3 linked regions of the Callithrix jacchus genome follow. The protein of the gene in region 2 purifies or fractionates together with the protein of the main gene of each other region. This does not show direct contact. Links are inferred from orthologs where the notes say so. Each region holds a gene or a part of one and is shown on either strand. Other genes may lie near its edges. The genes, in order: GDI2, RAB1A and GDI1.

Region 1 (10,437 bases), on a different chromosome or scaffold from region 2:
GTATCAGTATCCCAATGTTTACAACTGATCCTCCACTAGAAAAAAGAAAGCCAGTTTGGTTAATTGAACAGAATATGGTAACTGCCAATTCTGAATAGCCACTCCACGAAAACAAGTTAATACATAATATTAGAAAGATGGAGGGGGGGGAGTATTTACTGGCACAGCGCTCTTCATTCTCCACTTTGATTACAAAAGCAGGCCTTACAATACTGATTTCATATCATATGCATTATTTGCCGCATTGTAAATTTGTCCTAACTGGATAATAACATGTACTGCTGTTAGTCTTCCCCATAGATGTCGTTTTTCTTGCGCTTCATTTCCTCAAAGTCAAACTCTGATCCTGTCATCCTCTTATAGATGTTTTTAATGTCATCACATGTTGTCTCGAAATGAGTGGTAGCATCATATGTGCGGGAAATAAAGATCTGAAAACAAAAATTACAAAGACTTAAGACTGTGGAGGGATACCTTCCAGTGAACCTGCCCGTATCCTCTCACACCTCCATACTCACCTGGCTTTCTGTTCCCAAGTCTTTTGGTACCAGGAGGTCGCTGATGCTAATAAATCTGGAGGGAGAGAGAACTGAGTCAGATGAGCTGGTTCCACACCTAACCCTGGCTCTGCCTGAAATTCTGAGGTATGTATGACCCACAGAGCAGCCAACGGCCACCTGCCTTGCCCTCACATTCCTCCCACCGTGGAACCACAATCAAAGGCCTCAGTTTGCATCCTGGCAGATAGAAAAGAACACAACTCACTTCTGTTCAATTGGTTCCAAGAGCTCCAAAGCTGGTCTGATTTCCTTTTCAGGCTCCTTGGTTTCCACAGTGGTACTAACTATGGCGATATACTTCCCTTGTGCCGCCACATTGTGCGCAGAGGAGATCATGCAGACATAGATATCTAGAAACAAACACCACCAGCTCACTGCTCAAGTGTGTCCATCTGGGGCCCAGCACACTCAGGTGCCAACCATATGTGGGTGTGAATTACAGTGACTTAATAGGCAAGATCTTCTACACTTAAAGTTCTAAATGATCACAGAGTTGTAAAATACACAAATAGTTAACAATAGGCATTTCTTTTAACTTACTAGAGATTAAGAATTTATGTGGTCGCAAACTGCTGAACTTTGGAATGAGATCTCCTAACAGCTCTGTCATACCTAACTGAAAAAAGCTGCCAAACCATATTAACTATTCTGGGCTTTTCTTCCATTCTGGACTACTTGGAAAGGTTTTGAATGGCTAAGAAAGGATGTATTTAGTACTGATGTCCTCTTTGACTTACTAAAGTAACGTTAAATTGCAGAATCCACATAAACCACTTCTGAGTTGGCATTAGATAGAATTCTCAATTAGACTTGGTCTGTATACTACTCATCCAAGTAACTGTAGTGTCCTCTATAGGCACCTACTGTTAGTCAGAGCTGGGAGCCTCAGGGTTCACCTAGCCCAGTCTGTTCATTCTACAGATGATGGACACAAATCTAGGGCTGGCTCCAAGTTGAACCTGTCCCTGTCAACACAATGCTGCAGGACCGGGAAGTGGTACAAGGATGACATTTTCCCCCTCATATGTAAACCAAAGTCTGTTCACTAATAGAGCATACACAATTTGAAATAAAACACAAAGCAAATAATATCTTAAAAAAATCTACGAACATCTCCTGGTCTTCAAACCTCACCTGACTTTCGATTGACTTGGTTCTGTGGAATAATGATCTGGCAGGAGTTGGCATCATTGGTGTTCTTGATGGGGTGGCTGAGGATGCAAATAACTCTGATCACCTGGCCCACTTTTTCTACCCGATCTTTTACATAGCTGGGATCACAGATGAGCTGCTTACAGCGAGCAATCTGTAACAAAGCATTTAAGAAGACACTGAAGCTGACACAGATATATGGAAACAAATCCCACGTTCATGGTTTTAAAGATTTAGTATTGTTAAGATATCAAAAACCATCCTATGGTTCATATTGGTTCCCAAGGGATTGCATTCTGGAACAACCAAAGCAATCTTAAAAGAACAGCAGTAAAGCTGGAGGACTCACTAAAAAGCTATAGTGATCAATTCAGTGTACCAGCATAATGACAAACGTGGACCAATGAAACGGAAAAAGGCCAGAAATAAACCCTCACCTCCACAGTACAATGATTTTTGACAAAGTTGTGAAGACTATTCAATGAGAGAAAAACAGTCATTTCAACAAATCGTTCCAGGAAAACTATCCACATGCAAAAGAATGAAGTTGGACCCCTACCTACCACCACCCACAAAAACTAACTCAAAATGGAAGAAAGACCTAAATGTGATATCTAAAACTATAAAACTCTTAGAAGAAAACAGTGCAAAACCTTCATGACACTGGAGTTGGCAGTGATTCCTTAGATCTAAAACCAAAGACACAGGCAACAAAAGAAAAACAAATTTCATGAAAACAGGATTTCATGAAAATGTAAAAATTTTGTACATAGCCAGGCATTATGGCATATGGCTATAATCCCAGCTACTTGGGAGGCTGAGGCAGGAGAATTGCTTGAGTCCAAGAGTTTAAGTCCAGTTCAGGCAACAGAGCAAGACACTGTCTCTTTTAAAAAAAAAAAAAAAAAAAATTGTGCATCAGAAGACAGTAATCAAGAATTCAGGCAACTCATAGAATGAGAAAAAATATCTGCAAATTATATATCTCATAAGGGATATATCACAATTTATCAAGAACTCCTAAAACACAACAACAACCCAGATTCAAAAATGATCAAAGGGTCAGGTGCAGTGGCCAGTAATCCCAGCACTTTGGTAGGCCAAGGTGAGCAGATCACCTGAAGGTCAGAAGTTGGAGACCAGCCTGACCAACATGGAGAAACCCTGCCTCTACTAAAAATACAAAAATTAGCCAGGTGAGGTGGTGGGTGCCTGTAGCCCCAGCTACTTGGGAGGCTGAGACGGGACCCCGGAGGTGGAGGTTGCAGGGAGCCGCAATCACACCACTGCACCCCAGCCTGGGCAACAAGAGCGAAACTCGTCTCCAAAAAAAAAAAAGATAAATTTGATGTGTACTTTATTACAATTTATAAAAATTGGAGGAAAAAAGACTAACATTCAGTGTCTGCAATGTTTTCAAGAGTGTATTAATGTAATTTTTACCTTGAATATAATCTGTTATCTTCATAATCTAACATATAAAAAGTTGAGGTTAACTATTGAAGTGTGATTGTTAAAGCTAGCTTTGTCAATAACCCTACATATTTTCTCCTGGAACAGATACATGAACTGTAAACCCTATTAAAATACTAGGAAAACTGTGTTGCACAGTATTCAGGGTACAAGTTTTAGAATTGGGCAGCTCAGGGTTCAAATCCTGGCTCTACCTAACCTCAAAGGATTGTTGTTAGGACTAAAATTCTCCCATGTCCAACCTCTTGAATGCAAGGACATTTTTGCTTATTTGTGGTGGCAGATATCATTAAAATTATGCATGGACCCTTTTTCCAGCTATGTTAGTGTTAGCATATTTTATGTGTGATCCAAGACAATTCTTCTTCCAATGTGGCCCCCAGGGAAGCCAAAAGGACAGTAGTGAACTAAATGAAATGGTGTAAAAAAGTCTGTCATTATATGTGCGTGTCCTGACAGAAAGTAAATGCTCAATAAATGTATTCTAAATAGACCAAAATCCTTACCATCTTAAGGCTATGCTTTCTAAGAAAACCATTCATTGCAAAATAAATGTATTAAAGCCTTTTCATAGTAAAGCCCTGAAGCTTCAGAAACACGAAGAATGAAACAAAAGAATAATATGGAATAAAAACAACTTTAAGAAGTCAGATTAAAACACTTATCCCTGGCCGGGAACAGTGGCTCACACCTGTAATACCAGAACTTCGGGAGACCAAGGCAGGTGGATCATGAGGTCAAGAGATGGAGTCCATCTGCCCAACATGGTGAAACCCCATCTCTACTAAAAATACAAAAATTAGCTGGGCTTGATGGCAGGCGCCTATAGCCCCAGCTACTTGGGAGGCTGAGGCAGGAGAATCACTTGAACCCGGGAGGTAGAGGTTGCAGTGAGGCAAGATCACGCCACTGCATTCCAACCTGGCGACAGAGTGAGACTCTGTCTCCAAAAAACAATAAAAAATAAAAAAAACAATTATCTCTTAGCTCCTAAACAACTATGATGCTGAAAGCACAGGCAGTGTTACTGTCCCTGACGAAGATCTCCCGGCGTGGAGCTGGAAGATAGTGAGACTGATGATGCCACACACAAAGGTGGCTGTGTGGAGTCTGCTGGACCCAGATGGTAAACAGTGCTGTTTGTACTGATATGCCTGAGCATTCAGTCAGCATTAACAAAACCTAGTAATAAACATGTCAAACAAAATATGGTTTCTTTTGTGCTTTGTAACTTCATATAAAGTAGATGAGAAACTAGGACAGAGACAAGATGAAAGGGGGTTATAAAGAAGCTGCCTAAAATATATGTTCAAAAGATCCAATTAAGTAACATTTTAGAGGCCTGTCATGGTGGCTCACACCTGTAATCCCAACACTTTGGGAGGCTGAGGGGGGTGGATCACTTGAGGCCAGGAGTTTTGAGACTAGCAAGACTAGCCTGGCCAAAATAGCGAAACCCCGACTCGACTAAAAAATACAAAATTGGCTGGGCATAGTGGTATGTGCCTGTAATCCTAGCTACTGTGGAGGCTGAGACAGGAGAATTGCTTGAACCTGGGAGGTGGAGGTTGCAGGAAGCTGAGATCACACCACTGCACTGCAGCCTGGGTGTCAGAGCAAAACCCTGTTTCAAATAAATAAATAATTGAGTAACATTTTAGTAGATAAAACATACAAACCCAACACCACCCAGCACAGGAGTTTACATCCTCAGGTGTATCATGACAGGGCTGTGAGTGAAGAACACCTTGATTCCAATTCTACCCCAGCCATTCACGGAATTATGTGCCCTTGTAGATGTTTCTTAATTTAAGCCTCCAAGTATAACCTGGACGTAATGCCTGCCTCTTAAGACATTGTAAGGAATAAATGAGATTTAAAATGTGCTTCACAAGTTATTACCAGGCTTTTTTTGCCCTAGGTCAGTCCTGTATTTTCTCTCTCTTACTCACTGTCCGCTTACACCAGCTACCAAACTCTGATCTCAAACTTTCATTTCCAGTGACATCTAAACGGCTGAAAATGCCCCCCACCCCACCACCCAGGAGGTTTCTACATTTCCATACAGCTTCATATTAAAAAGATAAAGCTGAGATTTGCAGGATTCCAGGGACAGACAGTAAAGCAGTACACTTGGAGTGCATCCTCTACTCCAGGAATTGCTGCAGACAGTAACTGTGTCAAATGGCGGAAGAATTCTTTCATACGGCAATAAAGGGAAATGGATCTTTTATTTCCCTGCAGCATCCACATCACCTGAGAGGTTTCAAGGAAATGCAGAGCCTTCTCAGACCTACCGAATCAGAACATACACTAGAGCCAGATTAACAATGCTTCATATGTAATTCAAACTTGCAACGCTGCTCAAAACTCCACACCCGTGTAGTTGGCCAGCAAGTATAGATCAATTTAAATAAAAATTTGGGAGACAGGCACAACCCAAACTAAGAACACTGAATACTTACCATTTAGAGCTTACCCATAATGCATGTTTGAATATTAAAATAATTGACAAAAAAAAATTTTTAGTTATGTTTTTTAAAATAGAGCACAACATCTGTAACTAGTCCTTAGTCACGATAAACACCAACCTCCCATACAGAAACCATATACATCAGTGTCCACACCAAAATAAATATTTAGAATACACAATTTTCTTCACCAGAACACAGTATTTTTTTTTTTTTTTCATTTTAAAAGCTACTTACTTCTCCTTCAGATTTTACACCAATTACTTTTCCATTCTGCACAATGATTTCTTCAATGGGTTTATTCAGCATATAGGTACCTCCATAAATAGCACTTAGCCTGAAAAATTTTTTAAATCCCAATTAATAATATATAATCGTTTCAACTACTAAAGTCCCCTTCCTTAGATCTTAATGAGTTATAGGCAATATGCATTTATTTGTTCAATTTCCTTCTAGGAAGATGTCAGCTTAAAAGTGATTAAAGCATGAGCACACACACACAAAGCGGTATCTCAAGCCAGCAAACACGCAGAGCTGGTGTTGATAACTGACTGACTAATAAAAGGAGGCACTCATCTCTCAAGCTGCCCACTTGGCCCTCTTCTAAGTGTACTTTCTCTCCTTCCTTTCATTTCTACTTGAGCTTGAATAAACGTTCGCTCCTGCTCTAAAACTTGCCCAGGTCATCCCTTCTGCCTTGTATCCCTTGGCCATTCTTTTTTCTGAGGAGAAAAGAACTGAGGTTGCTGCAGACCCATACGGATTCATCTCAGTGCAATAATATATTTTGGTGCCTCTGTGACTCGGATACCGTCCACCAGTAACACACTTTGGTGCCACGTGACTCAGATACATTCCCTAGCGGTAAGAGGCCTCTACGCCTCATCTTCTTCCACTGGAGGCGTTCAACCCCCATACACAGTTTGCTTCCCCGCGTTCACTCTCCAGCTTGCTAAGCAACCACCAGAACAGTTCTTCTCAGCCACAGCGGCTCTGCTTCCACAACTTATCCCTCAGCTCACCCTGATGGATGGCTCACGGGGTTGGGAGAGACTTGGGGACACTAATGGCCCTCCTGGACAGGAGGCTCACAAGAGCAAAGCCTAAAGCCATACAATGTCTGGGGTTTTCTCTGCTCTTTCCCAAAACCCACACTGTCTATTCTCCTGTCTCTTCATGTGTGTTCTGAAATGGCCTTGGGCAGTTGCAGGACTATCTGCACCAGAGGCAAGTCCGCCATTTCTCTAGGTTCACTTCCCAAAAAAAAGAAAAAAAGCTCTGACCAGTAATAGCTATATTGGTCTACTATTTTTACTTCAGCAAAAGAGTGAGCCAACAGAGCTATGAATTGGAAGCAAGGACCCAAAAGATGATAAAACAATTATAGAGAAGCAGATTTGAAGAGGCATGTGGAATTTCTTCTGGCTGAGAATTAAAGATTAAGGAAAGAAAATAAACAACTAAAGGCTGAAAAGGGCAGACTTCTAAAAGGTCCAATAGAAAAGGAGCTGGATGTAGATGCTAATTTTGTAGAAACATCAGAGTTATGGAGCTAGCTGCCACATTTAGAAACTCTACAGCCTCTTCAGCCTGGCAAAAGTTTGCAGCAAATACCCGGAAAGCAAAGGACATTCCAATCTCCAACCTTCCTCCCTTGGATTTTCCATCTCCAGAACTTCCCCTTATATAGCTTTCTGGGGCTATTCTGAAAGGATTTATGAATAATTAAAATGGAAGGCCACAGAAGAGGGGAGAAGACAAAATAATGCAAAAAAAATGAAACAGGAAACCACATAGAAGGATAATCCTGGAAATGCTTCATCATCTGGCATACTTGGGAGAAGAGGCATTGCCAGGCCTTGGGAAACAAGTCACTGTGAAATGTGTCACATATTATCTGATGCACTGACTTGAGCTACTGATTCCGACTTGGCAGACACTAAATTCATGCAGGTTTAGTTTCTCCAGATAAAAACCAAACGGTTACATGAAATAATTTTTTCAAACAACAATTACTTTTCTTAAGGGTTAAAATGCATGAAAGTTGGGCCGGGTACGGCGGCTGACGCCTTTAATCCCAGCACCTTGAGATCACCTGAGGTCAGGAGTTCGAGACCAGCCTGGCCAACATGGTGAAACCCCGTCTCTACAAAAAATACAAAAATTAGCTAGGCATGATGGCAGGTGCCTATAATCCCAGCTACTTGGGAGGCTGAGATGGTAGAATCACTTGAACCCAGGAGGCAGAAGTTGCAGTGAGCCAAGATCGCGCCACTGCACACCAGTCTGGGTGACAGAGCGAGACTCCATCTCAAAACAGACACTTCTCAAAAGAAGACATTCATGCAGCCAACAAACATATGAACAAAAGCTCATCCCTGGTCATTAGAAATGCAAATCAAAACCATGTGAGAAATCATCTCATGCCAGTTAGAATGACAATCATTAAATAGTCAATAAATAGATGCTGGAGAGGATGTGGAGAAATAAGAACACTTTTACACTGTTGGTGGGAGTGTAAATTGGTTCAACCATTGTGGAAGACAGTGTGGTGATTCCTAAAGGATCTAGAACCAAAAATACCATTTGACCCAGCAATCCCGTCACTGGGTATATACAGAAAGGATTATAAATCATTCTGCTGTACAGACACATGCACCCATATGTTTACTGCAGCACTGCTCACAAGAGCAAAGACTTGGAACCAACCGAAATGCCCATCAGTGATAGACTGGATAAGCAAAATGTGGTGCATATACACCACAGAATACTATGCAGCCATAAAAAAGAATGAGTTCATGTCCTTTGCAGACATGGATAAAACTGGAAACCATCATTCTCAGCAAACTAACACAGGAACAGAAAACCAAACACTGCATGTTCTCACTCCTAAGTGGGAGGTGAACAATGAGAACACATGGACACAGGGAGGGGAACATCACACACCAGGGCCTGTACAGGGGTGAGGGGATAGGGGAGGGAGAACATTAGGAGAAATACCTAATGTAGATGATGGGTTGATAGGTGCAGCAAACCACCATGACACAAGTATATGTGACAAACCTGCACACTCTGCACATGTATCCCAGAACTTAAACTATAATTTAAAAAAAAAACTATAAATGTATGTTATGTGTAATTAATCTATAATGCTATAAATGATAATGTAAAATCTAAATAATATGGTGGCCTGAGGGGCTGCCTTGTATTTGAAACCTGCTTTCTATCATGCATTAATTATATGCATTTTGTTAAAATAAGGTATGTAAGATACACACCCTTCTAGATATAACTGTGTGTACCAAACTTTGCACTATTCATAATAACCTCAAGACCATCAGGAGAAATATTTATATTTCCATTTTATGAAGAAACGAAATTCTTAGTTATGCTTTTTTAAACAAATTACCAGTTTACATAATTTTTTTTGGGGGGGGAGGAAGGCAGAAAGGAAGGGAATAAGGACGGTAGGGAGGAAGGAAGGGATGAAGGAAGGAAGGGAGGAAGGAAGGAAGGAAGGGAGGAAGCAGGGAGGAGGGAGGGAGGGAGGGAGGGAGGGAGGGAGGGAGGGAGGGAGGGAAAGGAAGAAAGGAAATCAAGCAATGAAAGAGACATTGCCGACCTGGATCTAGAGGTTTACAAGCTGATTTCTTTTTTTTTGAGAGAAGGAAAGAAAAAAAATAAATAAGTAAAGGAGAGAAAGAAAGAGGAAGAGAAAGAGAGTAAATGGAAATATTGCTTTATTTTGAAAAAAATTGGGTATTAATAATGGCCAATCAATGTTTCATTTAAACTTATGGGTAGGTGTGATGTGGTATTGACAAGAATGTATATTTTGTGTATTTGAAGTGGAGAGCTCTATAAATATTTATTTTTACTTGTTCTGGATCTGAGTTCGAGTCCTTGATATCCTTATTAATTTTCTGTCTCATTGAATCTAAGTCTCGTATCTGGGTGTTAGGATCATTAGCTCTTGTTGTTGCATTGATCCTTTTACCACTCTATCTTTGTTGCTTTAAAATCTATTTTATCCGATACAAGAATTGCAACTTCTGCTTTTTATTTATTATTTATTTTTGCTCTCCATTTGATTGGTAAATCTTTCTCCATCCCTTTGAGTCTTTGTGTATCCTTGCATGTGAAACAGGTCTGGATGTAACATGCCGTTGGGTTTTGGCTGTGTCTTTTGATTGGGAATTCAGTCAATTTAAATTTAGGGTTACTGCCATTTGATGTTGACTGGCTGTTTTATCCATTTGTTGGTGTAAATTCTTTATGTTGATGCTCTTTACTTTTTGGTATATTTTTAGAAAGGCTAATACTGGTTGTTTCTTTCTGTGTGTAATGCTTCTTTCAGAAGCTCTTGTAAAGCAGGCCTGGTGGTAATAAAATCTCTGAGTTCTTGCTTGTTCATAAAAGATTTTATTTTTCCTTCAGTTGTGAAGCTTAGTTTGGCTGGATATGAAATTCTGGGCTGAAGGTTCTGTTCTTTGAGGATGTTGAATATTGGCCCCCACTCTCTTCTGGCCTGTAGAGTTTCTGCCGAGAGATCTGCTGTAAGTCTGATAGGCTTGCCTTTGTGGGTAATCTGACCTTTCTCTCTGGCTGCCCTTAGTATCCTCTCCTTCGTTTCAACCCTGGTGAATCTAACGATTATGTGCCTTGGGGTTGCTCTTCTTGAGGAATATCTTTGTGGTGTTCTCTGTATTACCTGGGGTTGAATGTTGACCTGCTTTGCTAGTTTAGGAAAATTTTCCTGAATAATATCCTGAAGGGTATTT
Region 2 (10,454 bases):
AACAAACAAACAAAAAAGCCAAGTAGAGAACTGGCAAGGGAATATTTGATTTTGAAGCACTTTCATCTTTAAGACAACATTTAAAAAAAAAAAACCTAAAAGATCTGATGGTTAAAAAAAAAAATCCAACACCCTTCATTTCAACTTAATTTGATGAAAGAGGGAAATGTGTATCTTTTTTTGAGACCAAGTCTCACTGTCGCCCAGGCTGGAGTACACTGGTATACAACTCCTGACCTCAAATGATTCGCCCACCTCAGCCTCCCAGAGTGCTGGGATTACAGGTGTGAGCCACCTTGCCCAGCGGAAACAGGGAAATTTTTCAACACAAAATTTCAGGCTGGGAATGGTAGCCCACCCAGTGCTTTGGAAGAATCACTTGAGGCCCTGAGTTTGAGACTACCCTGGACAACACAGGAGGCCCAGTCGCTACAAAAAAATTTTTACCATGAAATTTCAGTTATCTTTTTTTTTTTTTTTTTTTTTATGGGAGTCTCGCTCTGTCGCCCAGGCTGGAGTGCAGTGGCGCAATCTCAACTCACTGCAACCACCGCTTCTAGGGTTCAAGGTATTCTCCCGCCTCAGCTTCCCAAGTAGCTGAGACATCACACAGGTGCTACCACACCCAGCTAATTTTTGTATGTTTAGTAGAGATGGGGTTTTGCCATGTTGGCCAGGCTGTTCTCAAACTCCTGACTTCTGGTGATCCACCTGCCTGGGCCTCCCAAAGTGCTGGGATTACAGGCATGAGTCACTGAGCTGGGCCTCAGTTTTTATCTTTAAATGATCCTACAAGATCATCATCTCATTCACTTAAAATTCTCAATATATATTTTGTAAAGGTTCTATAACAACTACTGAAAACATCAATTACCAGAAGAATTACCAGATGCTGATATTCTATGGACATTAAAAAATCATACTCTAGACAATGAGAATACTAGTTATCTTTCTTCTTTAAACTTTTTTGAGTTTTTCAAACCACCACCACCAAAAGTCACAAAGACAAACTGCTTTCACTTTCAAATACTTAAGTTTTTAAAAAAAAAAAATTATTCGAAACAGGCTGGATGCAGTGGCTCACCCCTATAATCCCAGCACTTTGGTTGGCCAAGGCAGGCAGATCACCTGAGGTCAGGAGTTTGAGACTAGCCTGGCCAACATGGAGAAACCCCTGGCCAACATGGAGAAACTACTAAAAATACAAAAATTAGTGGGGTATGGTGGTGGGTGTCTTTAATCCCAGCTACTCAGGAGGCTGAGGCAGAAGAATCACTTGAACCCAGGAGGCGGAGGTTGCAGTGAACCGAGATCATGCCATTGCGCTCCAGCCTGGGCAACAAGTGAAACTCCATCTCAAATTAAAAAAAATATATATTTGAAACACAATGCAGACCAAAAAAAAAAAAAAAGTCAAATGCTTCTTGAGACTACCATGAGAAGAAAGCAAAGTCTGAAGGACTGATAAAATTTTCAGAGATCCTGGAGCCATGATAGACTTAAGGGGGTGGGGGCTGAAAACAAGGTAATTTTTCTGCATTAAAGAATTATGGTTGCTCCAAGTAGACTACTAAATTTCTTCCTGTAATAGTTAGCTAGTATACTGAAGAAAGGTACACATGCTTTATTCTTAAGACATTCCTTAAAGATGAAGCAATCAAAATGACTTTCTCAACACTAAAAAAATCCACTAGAAGCCAATAGATTATGAAAAATGTTTCTGGTATAAAAATAATGTTAAGTATTTCTTTTTTTTTTTTTTTTTTTTTGAGATGGTATCTCACTCTGTCTCCCAGGCTGAAGTGCAGTGGCACCATCTCAGCTCACTGCAGCCTCCTCCTCCCAGGTTCAAGCGATTCTCCTGCCTCAGCCTCCCAAGTTGCTGGGATTATAGGCGCGCACTACCAGTCTGGGTATTTTTAGTAGAGGCAGTGTCTCACCATGTTGGCCAGGCTGGTCCCAAACTCCTGACTTCAAATGATCCGCCCACCTCAGCCTCCCAAAGTGTTGGGATTACAGGCATAAGCCACCATGCCCAGCCATGTTAAGTATTTCTTAACCAGTGTGCTGAAATAATCACTGCCTGCTTCAATATGTAGCTCAAAAAAATTCCAAATTTTTCTTCAGATCCAAAAAAAAAAAGCTTTGACTCTTTCCATCTACTTTTTTCACTGTTCAGATTACATTTTTAATTGCTTTTTTTTTTTTTTTTTGAGATGGAGTCTCCTTCTGTTGCCCAGGCTGGAGTGCAACGGCGTGATCTCAGCTCTCTGCAACCTCCACCTCCCGGGTTCAAGAGATTCTCTTTCCTCAGCCTCTAGAGTAGCTGGGATTATAGGCACTAGACACCATGCCTGGATAATTTTTTATATTTTTAGTAGAGCTGGAGTTTCACCATGGTGGCCAGGCTGGTCTCGAACTCCTGACCTCAGGTGATTCACGTGCCTCAGCCTGGCCAACACGGCAAAACGCCATCTCTACTAAAAATACAAAAATCAGCCAGGTATGGTGGTACATGCCTGTAACCCCTTAGCTACTCAGGAGACTAAGGCAGCAGAATTGCTAGAACCCAGGATGTAGAGGTTACAGTGAGAAGAGATCGTGCCACTGCACTCCAGCCTAGGGGGCTGAGACTCCATCTCACAAAAAAAGAAAAAAAAAGAAAAAAAAAAAAAAAAGGCCCAGCGCAATGGCTCACACCTGTAATCTCAGCACTTTGGGAGGCCAAGGCAAGCGGAGCACCCGAGGTTAGGAGTTGAAGACCAGCCTGGCTAATATGGTGAAACCCCATCTCTACTAAACCAATACAAAAAATTATCCAGGCATGGTGGCTGGGACCTGTAATCCAGCTACTAGGGAGGCTGAGGCAGGAGAATCTCTTGAACCCGGGAGGCGGACGTCGCAGCAAGAGTAAGCCAAGATCACGCCATTGCTCTCCAGCCTGGGCGACAGAGCAAGACTACGTCTCAAAAAAAAAAAAAAAAAGGAATACAGCTATCAACTCTTATGTAAACCAATATAAATCTAAAAATTCTGTTGCTTGAGAAGCTTTCTTGTCAAGAATCCATTTTCACTACCAAATTCAGCAGCACCCATAACACGGATTATAAATTTCTAAAAGAAACAATATAAATTAGTAATGATAAACCAAAGTAAGTTAAGGAACATCTGGAATACACTTGTAAACATTAGCTAATACACCATTGTAAGTACTAAGATAACATACTGGAAGCAGGAAAAGCATCCACCCATTAAAGTTGTAAATGAAGAGAAAGCATAAAACTTTGGAGTTTGGAACAAGATGTTAAAAACAAATGAACTTGTATTTGGGTGATAAAATATTAAGAACTTTTCTTTCTTTCCTTTATTTTCCAAATTTTCTCTAATTACTTTTACAAAGGTAACAAGCTTCATTAAAAAAACTGCAGGCCGGGCACAGTGGCTCACGCCTGTAGTCCCAGCACTTTGGGAGGCCGAGGCGGGTGGATAACGAGGTCAAGAGATTGAGACCATCCTGGTCAACATGGTGAAACCCCGTCTCTACTAAAAATACAAAAAATTAGCTGGGCACGGTGGTGTGTGCCTGTAATCCCAGCTACTCAGGAGGCTGAAGGAGGAGAATTGCCTGAACCCAGGAGGCGGAGGCTGCAGTGAGCCAAGATCGAGACATTGCACTCCAGCCTGGGTAACAAGAGCGAAACCCCGTCTCAAAAAAAAAAAAAAAAAAACCTGCTAAAGTCAGATTGCTAAAAATCTGATTGTTGGCTGCCCTTGTAACCTTCCCTAATAAAATATCCCTCACTTCCTCTTACCCTAATTTCCACTAACATTTTTGCAAAAGTTTTCCCAAATTCCTGTTTTACTTTACTCAACAGTCTAGATAGACTACAAATATAGTAGGCCAGATACTCATGTATTTGATGCCAGAAAAAATATAAAAACTATTTCTGGATTTGATTCCATTGAGGTCATTAATCTAGTCTTCAAAAGAAAAGGATGATGTGATACCACATTTACTCAAGAATTACTATCCCTGTCATCTATGAGCCATTCCTGCTTCTCCTCCTTGAAAATTCCTTCTCACTCCCTCTGTTCCTCCAAATCCAATTGCTGCTGATAATTTCCTTTCAGGTCTCTTTTCTATAAAGTCTTCCAAAACCCAGATAGCTAATCACAACCCACCATCCCCGAAATCTTGTTGCTCTCATCAACGACACACATCTGGAATTTGCTGCATTTACTGGTATTTGACATGCATAAAATGTTTATCTATATTCCTAAACTCCTTAAACATAAAGATTATATTCCTAAATCTTAGCACTAATAGAACGCCTTTCATGAAAATTACGCATACTACCTGAAGAATGCTCATATAGTTTTCCTAATTCTTTTATATGCATTTGAATTTCACCACTACCCTGAAAGGAATAATGATTCCAATTATTCTATTTAACAAAAGGGGAAATAAATTCAGAGGCTAACTTGTCAAAGTTCTCAACTAATCTTGAATATCTATTTACAGTACTAAACATATATATAGTAAATTCAGAAAAAGCCCTTAACAGTACAGGTTTATGAACTTTGATAGAGCGGTAAATCCATATTCTTTACTGTTACCAAGAAAACCACTAAATTAAGAACCTCAAGTTCAACTGTGTTCACCTGTGCAAAACCAACTGTGTCCTTGGAGCCCTTGAAAAAAAAATTTTTTTAACTGTCAACAAAGTAAATATGTCACTACAAGAACACTACCGTCAACTTCTAAAGCATAAAATTCTAATAAAATACTATGGTTTCAGTTTAGTGCAAAAGATTTCAGCATCAAGCCAGTGTTACAAAACTTGAAGAATGCATTTTGCAAGAGCCATGTGACACACACATGACAGTCAGCTAAACTGGTGGGTGGACCTTTTAGGGGAAAATGTTTAGCAGTAATTGATCAAAGCAGCAAATAAACTCAACTTTTACAACAAATACTCATTTCCCCCATCCCTCAAAGGCTTTTGACACTGAAAAGAAATACCAATTCTATCTCTTCCAATTACTCATTACTTTACATATATGTAAACTGTAGAGGAAATTTTTAAAGGGCCACTGAGGAGAGCCAACAAAGTCTACCCAAGGGAAGTGAACACCAGTTCCCAGGAAAGGTGCCAGGTGTGTCACATCTGCTGTCGTGACTTCTTGAGTAAGCAAGAAAAAGAAATGCATTAACTTTTCATGACACGTCATGGAACCTCATTGCCTATCATTCCCTATCTGCAATCATTCAAGCAGGTAATCCAAAACCTACATACAGATCTATCATAGGTCCCATTCGTTTCTCTTTCAACTTGACAGCAGGGTTCCTTTAATCTGGTAGTATCAGAAAAACATTCCTTGGCTTTAGCTGTGTGTTTTTTTTCCTTGACCTACAGAAGACAAAATGACTTAAGTGTCCTCTAAAAAAAAAAAAAAAAATTCTCACAAGTGCCCAGGTTTTTAGGAGGGCAATGGAACCGCCGAGTTCTTAAAGAACTCTTCCAAGACACAACTCAAAAAAGAGAACTTAAAAATCGCTTCTCACCATCTACTCATTCCCCTCAATCCCAAGCAGTCCCGAAAAGCATCCATATTACCTGAAACCTGGCGGAGAGGATGGAAGGAGAGGGAGCCAAGAAGCTCAGGATTTGCAAGTAAAGCTGGTTTCCACCCCGAGGATCCTGACAGTTCCGCAGAGTGCGGGCGCAGGGTCTGCCAGTGCCCTCTAGGAGGGCTCTCCCACGCCATCCCCTCCCCTCAGAAACAAGTCCTCCTTCAAAAGTCACTGCCTCCAGGAAAAGCTAACCCTTCACACCGCCTCAGGACCCTCCGCACAGTTCCTCAGCACCCGCCCCACACTCAGGCCCTCCAACCTGACCTGGTCCAGGCCCGGGCGTCTCACCCCTCCGGCCCGACCCCTCCCCCGCCCGGCCGCCCCTCCGCGTCAGACAATGGGGCCCGGCTCCCGGCCGCCAGCCTCTCCTGACCCATCACCCTCGCCTCAACCCAGCTGAGGCTCCGACTTCCGCCCCAACCCTCCTTGCCCCCTTTAAGATCCCTCAAGCTGGCCCACGGACCCAGCCGACCGGTGCTCTCCTGAACTCACTATTCGGGATTCATGCTGGACATGTCACTGCAGCTGCCGCCGCCGCCACCGCCGCCCTTGCTGCTGCAGCCGCCGCCCTGACTCTCCGCGCCACGGGTAATCGAAGGAAAGGAATGAGATAGGCTGTTCCGGGAGAGCAAACGTCTTCCCCCACTCAGTCCCCTAGAACACAATCAGCAGCCGCTGCCACTCAGCTATCGCTTCCACCCAAAATGGCTGCCGGCGAACCAGGAAATAGGGAAGCCTTAGACCAAGGAGCCTTTACACAGCCGGAGGGCGGCCGCACCGCCTGGCATGCCGGGAATGGGAGTCGCGAGTGCGGATACGCGAGCTGAAAACAGACGGTGCGGAGCGGAGGCCAAGACTCAGCTTCCCGCCAAGCGCCGCGCGTTTGGAGCATGCGTACTTGAAGGGTTGTCGCCCGCCCTATTCCCCACTCCCTCACCTCCCCACCCTCCGCCCCTCCTTGCTCCCCTCCCCTCTGACTCGCTGGCTAGGACTTCGCTCTGACTCCCCCTGGCGGATTGGCTAAGGCCGAGCGGCCCTGGTGATGTCAGCAGTGAGACGTGGCAGCTGGGCTAGTAAGCGCCCCACGCGGGAGGGGGCGGAGAGGGGCGGAGAGAGGCGGAGGGCGGTGCCGGCGGTCGACGGAGGCTGGGGGTCGGGGAAGGTTGGGGACCGGAGGGAGTGGTCAAACCGGAGAGACTGCCGGGGTGCAAGGGCGGGGAGGGGGCCGGGGGCGGGGGACACGCGTGGCGGCTCAGGCCCCCGGTGTGGCTTTTGCTGACCTAACCAGCTTGAGGCTTGCGCCACCCGGCTGGCTAGTCGGAGGACGTCCGCTCTAAGGACAGAAGGGAAGTCAAGGGGCTCCCTGGACAACCCGGAGCGGTTCTTTCACTTCTCACCCAGCCCCAACTTGGTTCGGTCATCGTCCATTGTTGGCCCCGCGCACTACCATTTTCTTTGATTTCTTCTTATTCTTACTGCTGCCCCTGTCTTAACTCGTCAGCCTGGATATTGCAGTAGTCTCCTAATGGGCTCTGCCTCTCTCTTCTCCGCCCCAGCCCATTTGCGCACACAATCGAATGTATCTTTCTGAGACAGCACCTCTACCATGACCCCACAACCTTCAGTGGCTCCACATTCCATGGACGGGAGGGACACAGCCCAGAGCCAGCCTAAAATCCAAGTCCTCCCTTCGTGCCAGCCTTCAAGTTGAGTTGTAATGTCTTATTTTCAGTTGTTACTAATCCTGAGCCATTCTGCAAGATTGGAAAATAATAAACAATAAAAACATGCAATTCATCACTACATAATGCCTACAATTTCTGAGGGTATTATTTATTAACTCATTTTTTAAAAACCTGTGGTCTTAACAGCTCTCTTTAATCAGCGCAGGAATTTAAATCTCCACTAAACTTTAACACATTATCTTGAGTTATTTAATTACAAAGGGCATAGTATAATACATTGTCCAAAGTTTATATTACAGCTTCTAAGAACTAAGAAAATTGTCTCCTGAGACTTACTGCAGAATCACTTTAAATTACTACAACGCCAAAATATAGAAAGAAGGCACTTATATCTACCTATACACTAATTACACCCCTTAACCCTCAAATTCTGCCGTGGGCCTTAGTTGATAAATTTTCAAAGGTTATATGAGTTACTTCACATGCTGGCTTCTGAAATGAACACCGTCACCAACCAAGGAGTATCCTGAATGGTTCAGTAATAGGCACAAAAAAGTGATCATTACCCTGGACCCTAAAGTCTATGACCCTTCCTGCTTATTGTAATTTCAAAGAATAAAAACTAAGAAAACTGGCCTGGCACGGTGGCTCACACCTGTAATCTCAACACTGTTGGAGGCCGAGGTCGACCAATTACAAGGTCGGGAGTTCAAGACCAGCCTGGCCGACATGGTGAAACCCCATCTCTACTAAAAATACAAAAATTAGCTGGGCATGGTGGTGCATGCCTATAATCCCAGCTACTCAGCAGGCTGAGGCAGGAGAATTGCTTAAACCCCGGAGGTGGAGGTTACAGTGAGCCTGGACGCCACTGCACTCCAGCCTGGGTGACAGAGCAAGACTCCATCTTAGGGGAAAAAAAATCTCAGAAAACTGTGACCTGAGTCACTAGTAAAGACACACACACACACACACACACACACCCCGAAAACCCCTCAGAAAAGTGTCTAGAGCTCATCCTAAGCCAAAAATACAATCTGTCCTCCCCCGGGAAATATACTCCCAAACTTCCTTTAATTAACTATTTTCTTTCCCACCAAAGAATTACCTCTGGCTGGGCATGGTTGTGTATATAAAAGGTGTAATAAAAGGTTGTCCAGCCTTGCAGATAAAAAAGTCTCTCAGGTAATTCCAGCACTTTGGGAGGCTGAGGTGGGTGAATCATCAGGTCAGGAGATCAAGACCATCCTGGCCAACATGGTGAAACCCCATTTCTACTGAAAATACAAAAATTAGCAGCTGGGCTCAGTGGCTCATGCTTGTAATCCCAGCACTCTGGGAGGCTGAGGTGGGTGAATCATGAGGTCAGGAGTTCGAGACCAGCCTGACTGGTGAAACCCTGTCTCTACTAAAAATACAAAAAAATTAGCTGGGCATAGTGGCAGGTGCCTGTAATCCCAGCTACTAAGGAAGCTGAGGCAGGAGAATCACTTGAACCCAAACGGCAGAGTTTGCAGTTAGCTGAGATCACCCCACTGCACTCCAGCCTGGAAGACAGAGTAAGACTCCATCTCAAAAAAAAAATACAAAACTTTGTTGGGGTGTAGTGGCTCACACCTGGAATCCCAGCACTTTGGGACGCCCAACTAGTAGATCATTTGAGGTCAGGAGTTCAAGACCAGCCTGACTAAAAACACAAAAATTAGCCGAGCATGGTGGTGGGTTCCTGTAATCCCAGCTAATGGGGAGGCTGAGACAGGAGAATTGCTTGAACCTAGGAGGTGGAGATTGCAGTGAGCCAAATTCGTGCCACTGCACTCCAGCCTGGGCAACAAAGTGAGACTGTCGCAAAAAAAAAAATTATCCAGGTGTGCTGTTGGGTGCCTGTAATCCCAGCTACTCAGGTGGCTGAGGTGGGAGAATCGCTTCAACCTGGAGGAGGCAGAGGTTGCAGTGAGCTGAGATCACACCACTGTACTCTAGCCTAGGCGACAGAGCAAGACTCCATCTTACAAAAAGAATGGGGCTTGCTGCCTTGGGAGAGGCAGTGATAAACTACAGGAGGGCAAGAGGGGAAATGCGTGGTGAAGAAAGGTTGTCCAGCCTTGCAGATAAAAAGTCTCTCAGGTGATAAAAGTTATCTTGAGGCAGCCCTCCTTCTGATACAGATACTTTACTAATGTAGATTTCCTTTATAGACATAACATTTATTTTACAAAAGGAAAGCTTTTCAGAGCTACTCCTGTGTCTGCAGTTTTCTCAGAATAACCAGCTCAAAATATGCCACCAAAGAAGTATATTTTAGGAGGGCATATTCTAGTCCCCCAGAGTGACATTTGAGGAAGTATGTCCTGAGCCCCAACATCTATTTATCTCAGCTTCCCTGAAAATCTTAAGTGCACTTGCTGTGTACGAAGGACAGAAGGGCTCATAGCTTAGTTATCGTGTTGTAGAATATTATACAAAGAGATCAGAGGCAGCTTAGCCTAGGAGTGGCAGGTGGTTGTTTCCTACCCCCACTGAAATTTATGTGCAATTACATTAAGACTTCCTTCCCAAATTTAAAGTAGCTAAAAATCATACTTTTTAAAAGTTTTGCTGATTCAAACTTTAATATATATATATATACACACATATATATATATATATTAGTGTGTGTGTTTGTTGTTGTTTTGAGACAGAGTCTCACTCTGTCGCCCAGGCTGGAGTGCAGTGGCTTGATCTGGGCTCACTGCAACCTCCCCTTCCTGGGTTTAAGCAATTCCCCAGCCTCAACCTCCTGAGTAGCTAGGATTACAGGCACGCACCACCACGCCCAGCTAATTTATTGTATTTTTAGTAGAGACGGGTTTCATTGTGTTGGCCAGGCTGGTCTTGAACTCCTAACCTCAGGTGATCAGGCCATCTCAGCCTCCCAAAGTGCTGAGATTACATGCGTGAGCCCCTGCGCCCAGCTCAAACTTTAATATATTTTATGTTTAGGTATTTAGAAGTAGTTACATTTCTAGTTCAAGTTAATAACTCAGAATCTAATTCATTAAACTAATGTGAGCCCTGTTGGCTGCCCTATTGTTGTCAGAATTATCCTAGGGCTATTTGTCCGTTTGTTCATTAGCTTGCTTTTTTCCTTTTTT
Region 3 (10,537 bases), on a different chromosome or scaffold from region 2:
GGTGGGGGCAGAAGTCACCCTTTCCTCCATGTTCTTCCCAGAGCAGAAGGGGTGGGGGGAAGAGACACACACAAGGAGAGGAACCCTCTTTTCCTAGGATAAGGAAGGGCCAAGAAAGAGGATGCTAACCAACCCCCCATCTTCCAAACCATCGCTAGAGTTAAGGATTTGGTCAGTGGATCAATGAGGCGGGTGATGGGAAGGTGGTGGGGGAAGCAGAGGATGCTAGAGCCCTCGAGAACAGACAGGCAGGGGCAGCAGGGGCGGGGCAGCCGCAATCACTGCTCAGCTTCTCCAAAGACATCGTTCTGCTTGCGCTTCATGTTCTCGAAGTCAAAGGCCGTGCCAGCCATGCGTTTGTAGATGTCTTTGATGTCGTTGCAGGTTGTCTCAAAGTGTGTGGTGGCATCATAGGAGCAGGAACAGAACACCTGGAAATAGCCAGAGCCCAGGGCCCAGGGTGAATCGGGCAGGTGCCCTGGGCGGGCAGCCAGGAGCCAGGGCTGGGATAGGCTGCTTACCTGGCTCTCAGAACCGTCATCAATGGGCTCATACAAGTCACTGATAGCCACAAACCTGAGGGGCAGATGGAGGGGAGGGGACAGGCCTCACAATGGGCCATGCCCATTGTGGGTCCTTAAGCCCAGCTCCTGGGCTCCCTCCCTCTCCACCCCCAGGCTCAGCCAAGTCCCTTACTTCTGGTCAATGGGCTCCAACAGCTCCAGAGCTGGCTCCACCTCCTTTTCGGGATCCATGGTCTCCACGGTAGTGCTGGCAATGGCAATGTACTTGCCCTGGGCCGCCACGTTGTGTGCGTAGGAGATCATGCACACATAGATGTCTGGCCACAGGAAGAGCTCTGTCAACTCAGGCTGGAGGCACCAGCCGTGTGCAGAGAGGGGTTCCAGCAGCTGGACGCAAGTCTGGCCCGCCTGCCCCTCCCCAGCCCCACAGAGCAGGTAGCATCCAAGCTGTCACCTTCCCAAACGGGAAGACTCCAGTCCACCCAAACCCTAGGGATCCAACTTGTGGTGACTGCAATGTGGGTCAAATTTTTTCTTCGGAGAGATAAGGCAAGGAGCTCCGACGCTGATGGGGAGATAAAGAGCAACCTCAAAGAGAACACCCTGGAGGAAGCTGGACCGGCGCCTGGCCTACCTGACTTCCTGTTGACCTGGTTCTGGGGGATGATGATTTGGCAGGAGTTGGCGTCATTGGTGTTCTTGATGGGGTGGCTAAGAATACAGATGATGCGGATGACCTGGCCCGCCTTCCGCACACGGTCTGGGATGTAGCTGGGGTCACAGATCAGCTGCTTGCAGCGGGCCACCTGAAAAGGCACCAGAGGTCCTCACCCCTGTCATATCACTCCCCTAGGTAGTCCTGGGGCTGTACTCACAGCAAGGGCAAGCAGCTCTGGCAGACAAGGCGCTCCTCAGAGCCATCACTACTGCCCCTCCTGAATGCATGGCCCTGCCCTGCAGCTCTGAGGTGGGCCCTGACACACAGGCCGGGTGCCCGGCCCCGCCCCCCATGGGCACTGTGATCAAGAACACTTTTGCACCACAGACGTGGCATGTGGACTCTCAGACCCCTCACCAACAGACATGGCTCTGACGACTTCTGGACCCCTAGTTCCCAGCTGCAAGGCCCTTGAGGCTGCGTAGCAGCAGACCCAACAGCACAGTCAAGAAGAAGGTGGCCACACCCCACCTCAACCATGGTGACAGCAGTGCATGGGGAAGGCTCACCTCTCCCTCAGACTTCACGCCCACCACCTTGCCGTTCTCCATGATGATGTCATCCACAGGTTTGTTCAGCATATATGTCCCCCCATAGATGGCACTCAATCTGTGGTGAGAATAGCCACGGTGAGGGCCCCTCCCAGGAGAAACTGGGACCAATTCCACTGCACCCTTCCCTCCACCAAGGTGCAAAGAAGGCTGCCCCAGGCAGGCAGCAGGCAAGAGACCCCGGGATTCATCCCAGCTCTGTCACTGCTGTGAACTCTGGCCCCATCTCGACAGGCTTCTTCGTCTCTGGAGCTTCTCCCCAGAATACACTGTCAAGGGTCAGCAGCAGGTGGCATGAAGGAGGAGTGCTCCACACCCACCAAGACAGCCTGGGGGACCAGAATGAAGGTCCTCTCTGGAGGTCAGCTCCCAGCTAAGCCCTGACTCAAGGTTCCATTGCCCTGGGCCCAGTCCTGGTGCTTCCAGGAACTGAGCAAGTTGTTTGTGGAGACTTGGTTCTTCGACTCTGACTTCGATACACTGGGGTTGTGCCCCCATCAGCCAAGGATGGAGCGAAGTCAATGAAGACCAATGCTAGCAGGGAAATGCTCAAGGGGCCAGCTCCACTCCTGGCCCTAGTCCTACTCAGCCAATGCCAACTGAAAAAACCCACGTCCTCACCTTGCAAAACCCTGAGGCAGCTCACCCAGGCCGTAAAGCGGGTATAAATACGGGCTCTTGCCATACCGGGCCAGGGACTCACTGTACAACTTGATGCGGTTGATGGTCTCAAGACAGGGCTGGTCCAAGTAGCTGGGGGACAGGGGTAAGGGAAGATGCTCCAATAGCAGCACCCTTGACTCACCACCACCCAGGTACCAGGCCAGTCTTCCCACCACCCTGAATGGCCTAGGGAACATGAAGATCAAATGCAAGGGGGAAATGGAAAGGGTGATAGGTGAGCCTATGGCTGAGTACAAGAGACATGCGGGGCAGGGGAACAGCAGGCAGGTGTGGGGAGGGAGGAGGCAGGCCGGGCGAGGGGGCTGCCGCCACACCAGCTTCCCTCACTCATCAGTGCGGTAGAGCGCCAGGGCGTGGCCAGTGAAATCGATGACATCCTGGCCCAGATCAAACTTTCGGTAGACATCACGCATGCTGGTAGTCTGAGGGTCAACACCCTCAAAGGTCTTGGGGTCATTCTCATCGAAGTTTGCCACAAACACCAGGAACTTGCGGAAGCGCCGTTTCTCAAACATGCCCATCAGATCTAAGGCAGGCGGCAGGACGAGGTTCTGCACCAGCGCAGCACAAAACTCTCCTTCCCAAAGGGCAGGGCCCCACTCCCAGTGTAGCTGTTGTGGGACCTTAGCTCAACCCCTCCGCTCTTTTCAGCCTCGGTTTCCCTGCCTCTATGAAGAGGGGACTGGCCTGGATGGCTCTAAGGGCCTTCCTTGCTCGGACATTTGGGGATGTCTCGGGGATCCAGTGGAGCCCCTGCCAAAAGGTCAAGTCTTTCCAAAGGAGCCCTGTCCTCCTCCACGTCACATCCCTGCTGCGTGTAGGCCTCTCTCCTGGCAGCCATCCGTGAGGCATGGCATGGGGCAGAGAGGATACAGAGTGAAGGGCCTCTGGTTCTTCATGGGGAATGTGACTTTGGACAAGGGGGTGCCTTACTCTGGACAGCCACCCATCCCAAGGACAGTCAACTTCCCTGCCACCCCATGATTCTCTGGCTCAGGGGGCCCACACTCACTGGAAGCCAAGGCCTCAGTCTCAGTGGACGGTACTTTGTAGATCTTGCCCCCCTTGTAGACAAAGCTGCCCTCCACCACCTTGAAGTCCAGATAGCGAGTCACCTCTGTATACAGTAGCATCTTTACCAGCTGCCCTGTGGGTGTGCATGGGGCAACATCGGCACTGCTCTCTCCAGAGTCTCTGCTGGTCTGGCTGCACCTCCCCATCACCCCGACCTGCAATATGTCCTTCCTGTCCCTCACCGTTAGCCATGAGGAATTTGGGAATGAGGTCAACGTTCCAGTCTCGGCCTCGGCCCATCGACTCAGGGGGCCCCTCCAGCAACTGAAAACGCTTATACAGCTGTAAGCAGAAGAGAGACACCTCAGGGACCATCTCCTCCTGCTCCAGGCACCTGGGGAGCTTCTTCTACCCTGTGCCGCTACGTGGGAGGTGAACAGGGATGGGCCTGGGCCCAGATGTCTCACCTCCTCCAGGGGTGTGATGGAGGAGCTCTCACCCCCATAGTAGGGGTTCCGGTCCATGTGCAGCACCTTCTTCCCGTTCACAGACATGATGCCCGACAGGATGCATTCCTGGAGGGAGGGCAATACCATCCTCTCACTCCTACCTGCCTCCCTTCCTACCAGCAGCCCTGATTTGTTCCCCACCCAAACCTGATCCAGTGGACAGCTCCTTCCACCCCCTCAAACCAGCTAGTTGCCTCGCCTAAAATTGGGGTGACAGCTTCATCTGACCACCGTCTCCTTTGTAACCTTGCTGGGCAAAGGAGTCCCATCCCCCTCACAAGGTAGGCAGTGAAATAATGGAGGCTCTGAGAGAGGCAGGGCATCCAGCAGACACAGGATGGCCTTCCAGTACCCACAAGCCAATGGACATGTATCTACGCAGAGCTGCACAGAAAGGCTGTTAAAACACAATGAGGCGCAGACGAGACCTAGCTGGACTGCGAAGGACACTCGAAAGGGAGGTGAAGAAAGGCTTAGCGCAGTCCTTGAAATTGTAGGCCCCACCCTGGACTGATCTTTCTTCAAATGGCGGGAGACCCTGCTGCTGATGAGGGGCATCTGGGCTTGGACTGAGAAAGAAGAGTCTCTCTGGGGAGCGGGCCAACGGGGTTTTTGGGGAAAAGGGGAAGATAAATACCCTCACCCGTCACTGTCACTAGCCCAAGGACAAAGGCTGCAGATGCTACTCAGCCTGAGGTCTCCATAGGCAACCGGGGTGGGGTTGAGGGAATGTGCTTACTGCCCCCACCGCTGCTCCTTCTGGAACATTCCCTGGATCCCCTGGCCCCAGAAGACGAGGAGGTGGGCTGAGGGCCCACCCTGAGGAGGCCCCCTGACCCCATGTCCCTGTCCCTACCGGGATTAGCGCAAGATGGGAAGGGACGCTAAGCGGGCGATGGGTGCGGGCAACCTGCGGGAGGGGGGGAGATTCCGTGATGGGTGGGGGCGATGGGTGGGCGGGGTCGGGGCACCGGGCTTAGCTGGGGTGCATTTTCCGGCCCAGCAGGCACAGGGGTAGGAAAGATGGGAGGGTGCCGGGGGTCAGACCCGGGCAGCCAGGAAGGGGGCCCCTTCGGGAAGATGGGGTCATAGCAAAAAGCAGAGGCGACGTCGCGGGGGGAGCGGCGCGGGGAGCGGCGGGGTGGGCACGGTGCCGGCTTTTTGGAGAGCCGAGCGCATCAGATGGCAGTGACCGGAGGGTGGGCCGGCGGCCACATCATCGCGGGGGGTGGCGAGGGCAAGACACGGGGCCAAGAGCGCCTGGGGCCGCACTTACGGTGAGGCCGGTCCCCAGCACGATCACATCGTATTCCTCGTCCATGGTCAGGCCTCGGTGCCAGTGCCCGCTCGGCTCCTCCTCCTCCTTCACCGCCGCCGCCGCCGCCGCAGCACTGGACCAAAGATGGCGGCGTTTCGGTCGCCGCCTGACCCCTCCGCCTCGTCAAAGAGTCCCGCCTATTCTCGAGCCCCGCCGCGCCCGGCCAGATCCACCGTTTCCCCAGCTCGCCTCCCAGGAGACCTGCTAGGGCCCGGGCCACAGCACCAGCGCGGCTCCGAGGACGACGCTGCTCGCCGAGGGTCCAGAGAGGCGCGGGGCGGGGCGGGCGGGGCGGGCTGGCGGCCGGTACTGCGGCTAGGAAAGGATCCGTGCGCGGAGCCGCGCGCGCCCCGCCCCATCCTCCCCGCCCCGCCCCGCCCCGCGCGCGCCCGCCCAGCCCCGCGGGAGGCTCGGCGCGGTCCCGCGGCCGGGTGCGCGCCGCTGCGGCAGCCGGGGCAGCCCCCTCATGATACGAAGGCTGCCATTGTCACGACGGCCTCCCGAGTCGCCAAAGCGTAACGGGACTCGGCCCGACCGCCCCTTCCTGCCCTAAGTGGTTAGGGCCCACCCTGCTAAAGCCCCTCCAGGTCTCCGCGGATGCTTCCTCACCTCTTCCTCACCGGGCTCCATCCTCCCGCATCCCTCCAGCGAGCACGCACCTAAAGCCCAGTGCAGAAATGACCTACAAGAGGCCCAAATCGTGGCGATCCGCGTTTATTAGGAAGGAAACAACCGAGCACGCCAGGCTCCTGCCAGGCACTCCCGATGGGAACATGCCAGACAGCTGGAGATTGCACCCAGCCCACCTGGGGTGGAGGTCCCTTCCTTCTCAGGCCACAGAAATAAACCCCAGTGTACTGCTTATCATTAGCACAGCATCACCAGAAAACAATAACGACAGCAAAGCAGGTCAGACAGTTAAGTAGTACCTCCACACCCCCAAACTCAGGGAGCCCCATAACCTTAAGGAGAGAGCATTTGCTACATAAAAGCACTATCCACAGCCAGGGATGATGTAGACACAATAAATAAGGAGAAAGGGGACCCTAGAATTCATGTCCCTTACGCCTCACCGCGGCTGAGCCTGGGACATTGGTCTAGCATCTACGCAGAATTATGTACACCTTGTTGGTAGGGATGGGGGCAGCCCCAGGAAATCTCCTTAGTGGGCTGAACGGGGAGCAAGATGGGCTAAAGGGAGCTTGGGGTTCATGCTGTGGTAGGAAGAGGGACACTGTCCCACCCTCAACCCCCTCCTGGCACAGGGTCACACAATCTGGGTCAAAGAAATGGTGGGGCCCTTGTGGTCATCAAAGCGATCCATGGTCTTGAGGCTGAGGATCATGTGCAGGCCATAGGTGAAGATGAAGAGCATGAAGAGGGAGGTGAGCAGCCCCATCCATATGCCGGGGGAGAAGAAGCCGGCGCAGTCGCTGGCATAGGAGAACTGCTCGCCCATCACATTGAAAGCTTGGATCTGGCAGACACACAGACAGGGGTCAGAAAGGACCGTCGGGAGGCCCGAGCCTGTGCCCAAGCAATTCTGTGACTCTTTGGGCCTCTCCTTGCCTCTCAACCACCAGCCTTGGCTCCATGACCTGAAGCTGGGCCACCCCTGCTCCATACCTGGAAGTCCTGAAGTGTCATCTGCCAGTGGGAGGGCTGCGTGCGGGCCACAAGGAGACTGCCCTTCTTGCTCAGGCTGCTGACGTACTCGCAGTGGAAGGAGTAGATGCTGGGTCCTGTGACCTGGGAAGCATTGAAATAGGCGACGGAGCCATTGCTGTGGATTTCGAGGCGCTCCATGGTAAACCAGTGCCGGGCGGACACTGGGTAGAGGCGGCTGGCCAGAATGAACCTGGGAAAGGCGGCAGGGATGTCAGGTGAGCCGGGGAGGCGGAAGTCACAGCAGCCCACCCGCACCTCAGCCACCCCCAGGACTTACTTGAATGTTACCGTGGTACCAAAGAGTCGTTCATAGGTCAATGAGAGCCTGCAGGGCCAGAGAAAGGGGCGCACTGTGAGGCCCTGGGAGGGCCTTCAGCACCTTCGAGGAACAAGTTCCTCAGCTCTGCTCCCTACCTAAGCTGCCTCGGGTCCTTGCAACCACCTGAAGAAGCAGTGTCCCCACTTGACAGATAGGAAAACTGGGGATTTGGTCACATTCCAAGCCCAGAACAGAGCTGAAAGTCAGGACCTAGGTCCTCCTTGCCACCAGCACGGGGTTCCTTCCTCTGGTTCCCCTGGACTCAGTGCCCCTTTTGCTCCCTCTTAGGTTCACTGAGGTACCTGGGCTGGGCTTCAGGGGTGAGAGCAAACGGAAGGGCATGGTTGCCTCATAAATGGCTCAGGTAGCTGGCCTGGTATTTACCCATACACAGTCCCAGACATTTTGCTCAAGGGGGAGGTGACACATTCCCAGGTAACCTTGACATGTTAACAATGAAGGTCCCAACCAAAGACTCACGAGCATGGGGAGGCAGAGGTCTGGACAACTCCCTCCAACAGCAACCTCCTGCATCCTCATGCTGCCCAGACCCCAAAGAGACCATGGCCATCCCCACCACAACACACAGACCTGACCCTGGCTCCCTGCCCCACCTGTGACCCTCAGTGTTGGAAAGGTCACCTGTGGTGGCCCAGTCCTCCCCAGCCTAGTGCCCTTGCCTGGCAAAGGAGTCATTCCAGAAGGAGCCAGTCAGGTTGAGCTCCTGCGCCCCAAAGGTGAGGGGGGTCAGATCCTCCCACTGGTCCTTGTACGCCACAGAGAAGTTTTGGGCCCAGAACAGGATCCGGGGAGTGGTGTCATTGTAACTCACAGGAGGATGGATCACAGGTGATGCTGGCTGTTTTTGTAGCAGCTGGCGACCTAGCCCCTCAGCCACCACAGCTACATCACGGACCACCTGCAGAAACACCCAACCAGCCTTCTTTTAGCAGCCCTGGGAGACTGTCTTGCTCCAACTCAACTGTCATGTCCCCCCACAGGGCACCCTGTCCACTCTCTTAAAGTCCTACCAGCCTTTCTTCCAGGAGACTTTCCCTGATGGCCCCTAAGTCCTGATGACATTCCTAGTCCCTCAAACTTAGGATCATTTAGACTTAGTGTCCGAGTTTGCCACCCACAAGTCTACAGGACAAGACAGAAAGCTACCCCTGGAATGGGGAGGCAGGACCTGAGTGCTCATCCTACTCCTCCCCCAGAGTCAGCCCAAGGACCAGCCACTCCAGAGTCACACTACAAGGGTTCTGTGCCTGATGCCTCCCCTATGCTGGGACCCCCCGGGGGGCCTGCCTGTGGCATACATCCCCACCTCCAGGCAGACTCACCACACTGCCTCTCCCCACATGCCCTAGAGCCCCTGCCGGAAGGGCACATACCCTGGAAGGGCGGACCGCTGTGAGGGCTGCTGTATATGGGACATCTTCAGACTTGAGTGTGCTCAGGACCTGCCCAATGACCTCATCTGAGGGTCAAGAAGGAAGCAGAGACCCAGGTCATCAGGCAGCCTGCTTAAAGAAACACTCCCACCGTCTGCTTTAGAAACCTTCTAGACTAGCTGAAATTGGTGATTTGACTTTCCACTGAAGATCCTTAGGAGCAGCTGTTTCTCATCCCATCCCCCCACCCCCATTTCCAGCTTCCCTAGGGACAACTGTGGCTTCAGTAATCGACTCCCTAATGTGAAGCCCTACCTATGTGACAAGAGAAAATACATGTAGATACAGAAAACTTCCCATCTACCCACAAAAGGATCAAGACTGCCTTTCCATGGGGAGTGACTGTCCTTTATCGCAAATAGGTAAGTCCCAGAATTGTTTTTCCAAATGTCTGCAGTCTAGTAAACCCGTAACTCTAGGATGCTTGCTGCCTGCGCAGAAACTGGCTGCACAGGCTCCAGTGCAGAGGCCCCCTCTGCCGAGTGGGGTCCGACTGGACAGGGTCCTCTGCCAGGTGGTCCCTGGCTAGTCCCAGAAGCCAGCATTTCCCTGCTCCACTGCCAGCTGCCTCGAGAAGCAGGTGGGCCACCCTGGGAGTGAGGAGGCTGAGGAACTGCAGGCCAGCTCTCTCTGTGGTCCCTGCCCAAGGGCTGGATGAGGACATGCATCCTCCCTGACTCCACTCACCGTTGCCTGTGAGGACTTCCCTGGGTGCCATCAGACCAGAGCTATGGAAGACAGACAGAGCATCAGAGTCCTCAGGTGGCCTGAACCTGCACTGCCCACTACCCTTCCTCCTCCCCAGCTTCTCCTCCCCACTAACCCCATACACCAAGCCTGTACACTCTTACCTCAGTACCCCCTCCTGGAAGCCCAGCCCTCCCCCAGGCTTCACAGTCACACTCAAGTCCTGGCCACCTGCTCTGTGACAACGACCTGGCTAGGTGAGGAGGCTCCCTACCTGCAGGGCTCACATCTGCCTCATCTCTGGAGGCCCAGCTCAGTTTTAGGCACCAAGTCCTGAGTCACAGAAAAGGCCCTCTGTAGAGAGCCAGAGTAGCCCACTCGCTCCGCGGGGATCAGCAGCAAGGCTGCTGCGAACTTTGGGTGAACTCCAGAGAAGTGAAACCATAATAGGGGAATGTGTATGTCTCAGAGAAGTGGAGATGGATATAGAGAAAGATAACCAGCTTTTACTGACCTTGCTGCAACATAGTTAACTGAAGTGTGAGAATTATAACCACAGGCTGTTCTAAGTAACTGCACTCCCTCTGCTGTGTGCTTTGTAAACATATAAGATAAAGTACTCTGAGGCAGGTGGGGGCCAAAGAGACTGACATCGTCATCTCTCGGACCGCCTGGCCCAGCTCTCTATGTTATGTTTGTCTTTGTGTCTTTCTTTATCCCCTGCTGTTCCCTCTTAGGTCTTTGAACCCTTGTGCAGTATGGGATGCAGCATGGGCCAGAGCCCTCCCCACCTCTTCTGGCCACACTGGGCACCTTCTGGAAGGGCTGTGAGGGGTGGGGAGTACTAGCATATTTGGCTGAATGGTGCTACCACATGCCATGCCCAGATTCTTGCTGCTGTCTGGGACCTGAAGCTGGTGGCTGGGCCATGTGGGCAGTACCTGGCCAGGTAGGGCAGGCGGATGAGCAGCAGGGCGGGGAGGCTGGCATTGAGCTTCAGCTCCTGCAGGGTGGCCAGGTCCACATGCAAGGGGCTGGCCCCAAGCTTCTCCTGCAGGTAAGTGGTCAGAGTGCTGACTGCATACCAATCA

Evidence for each region.
Region 1: the proteins of RAB1A (region 2) and GDI2 purify together in Homo sapiens (affinity purification with mass spectrometry; 6 studies listed by BioGRID and IntAct, counting the BioPlex papers as one, with this or other methods). This does not show direct contact. The link is inferred for Callithrix jacchus from reciprocal best matches to the Homo sapiens genes RAB1A and GDI2.
Region 3: the proteins of RAB1A (region 2) and GDI1 purify together in Homo sapiens (affinity purification with mass spectrometry; 7 studies listed by BioGRID and IntAct, counting the BioPlex papers as one, with this or other methods). This does not show direct contact. The link is inferred for Callithrix jacchus from reciprocal best matches to the Homo sapiens genes RAB1A and GDI1.

Annotation. Positions count from the first base shown.
Region 1 is NC_133508.1:8,007,903-8,018,339, reverse strand, and holds part of GDI2 (rab GDP dissociation inhibitor beta), read right to left. Parts: intron 5,994-10,437; coding exon 5,894-5,993; intron 1,867-5,893; coding exon 1,695-1,866; intron 911-1,694; coding exon 766-910; intron 574-765; coding exon 519-573; intron 432-518; coding exon 285-431; 3' UTR 1-284. UniProt on the Homo sapiens protein: GDP-dissociation inhibitor preventing the GDP to GTP exchange of most Rab proteins. By keeping these small GTPases in their inactive GDP-bound form regulates intracellular membrane trafficking.
Region 2 is NC_133515.1:48,810,684-48,821,137, reverse strand, and holds the start of RAB1A (ras-related protein Rab-1A), read right to left. Parts: upstream 6,342-10,454; 5' UTR 6,151-6,341; coding exon 6,128-6,150; intron 1-6,127. UniProt on the Homo sapiens protein: The small GTPases Rab are key regulators of intracellular membrane trafficking, from the formation of transport vesicles to their fusion with membranes.
Region 3 is NC_133524.1:150,227,959-150,238,495, reverse strand, and holds the start of GDI1 (rab GDP dissociation inhibitor alpha), read right to left. Parts: upstream 5,405-10,537; 5' UTR 5,322-5,404; coding exon 5,277-5,321; intron 4,067-5,276; coding exon 3,959-4,066; intron 3,834-3,958; coding exon 3,734-3,833; intron 3,625-3,733; coding exon 3,490-3,624; intron 3,004-3,489; coding exon 2,805-3,003; intron 2,547-2,804; coding exon 2,415-2,546; intron 1,852-2,414; coding exon 1,752-1,851; intron 1,331-1,751; coding exon 1,159-1,330; intron 842-1,158; coding exon 697-841; intron 577-696; coding exon 522-576; intron 432-521; coding exon 279-431; 3' UTR 1-278. Other genes in the region: ATP6AP1 (V-type proton ATPase subunit S1), read right to left, coding at 6,586-6,795, 6,945-7,176, 7,264-7,311, 7,986-8,224, 8,700-8,785, 9,447-9,487, 10,388-10,537. UniProt on the Homo sapiens protein: Regulates the GDP/GTP exchange reaction of most Rab proteins by inhibiting the dissociation of GDP from them, and the subsequent binding of GTP to them. Promotes the dissociation of GDP-bound Rab proteins from the membrane and inhibits their activation.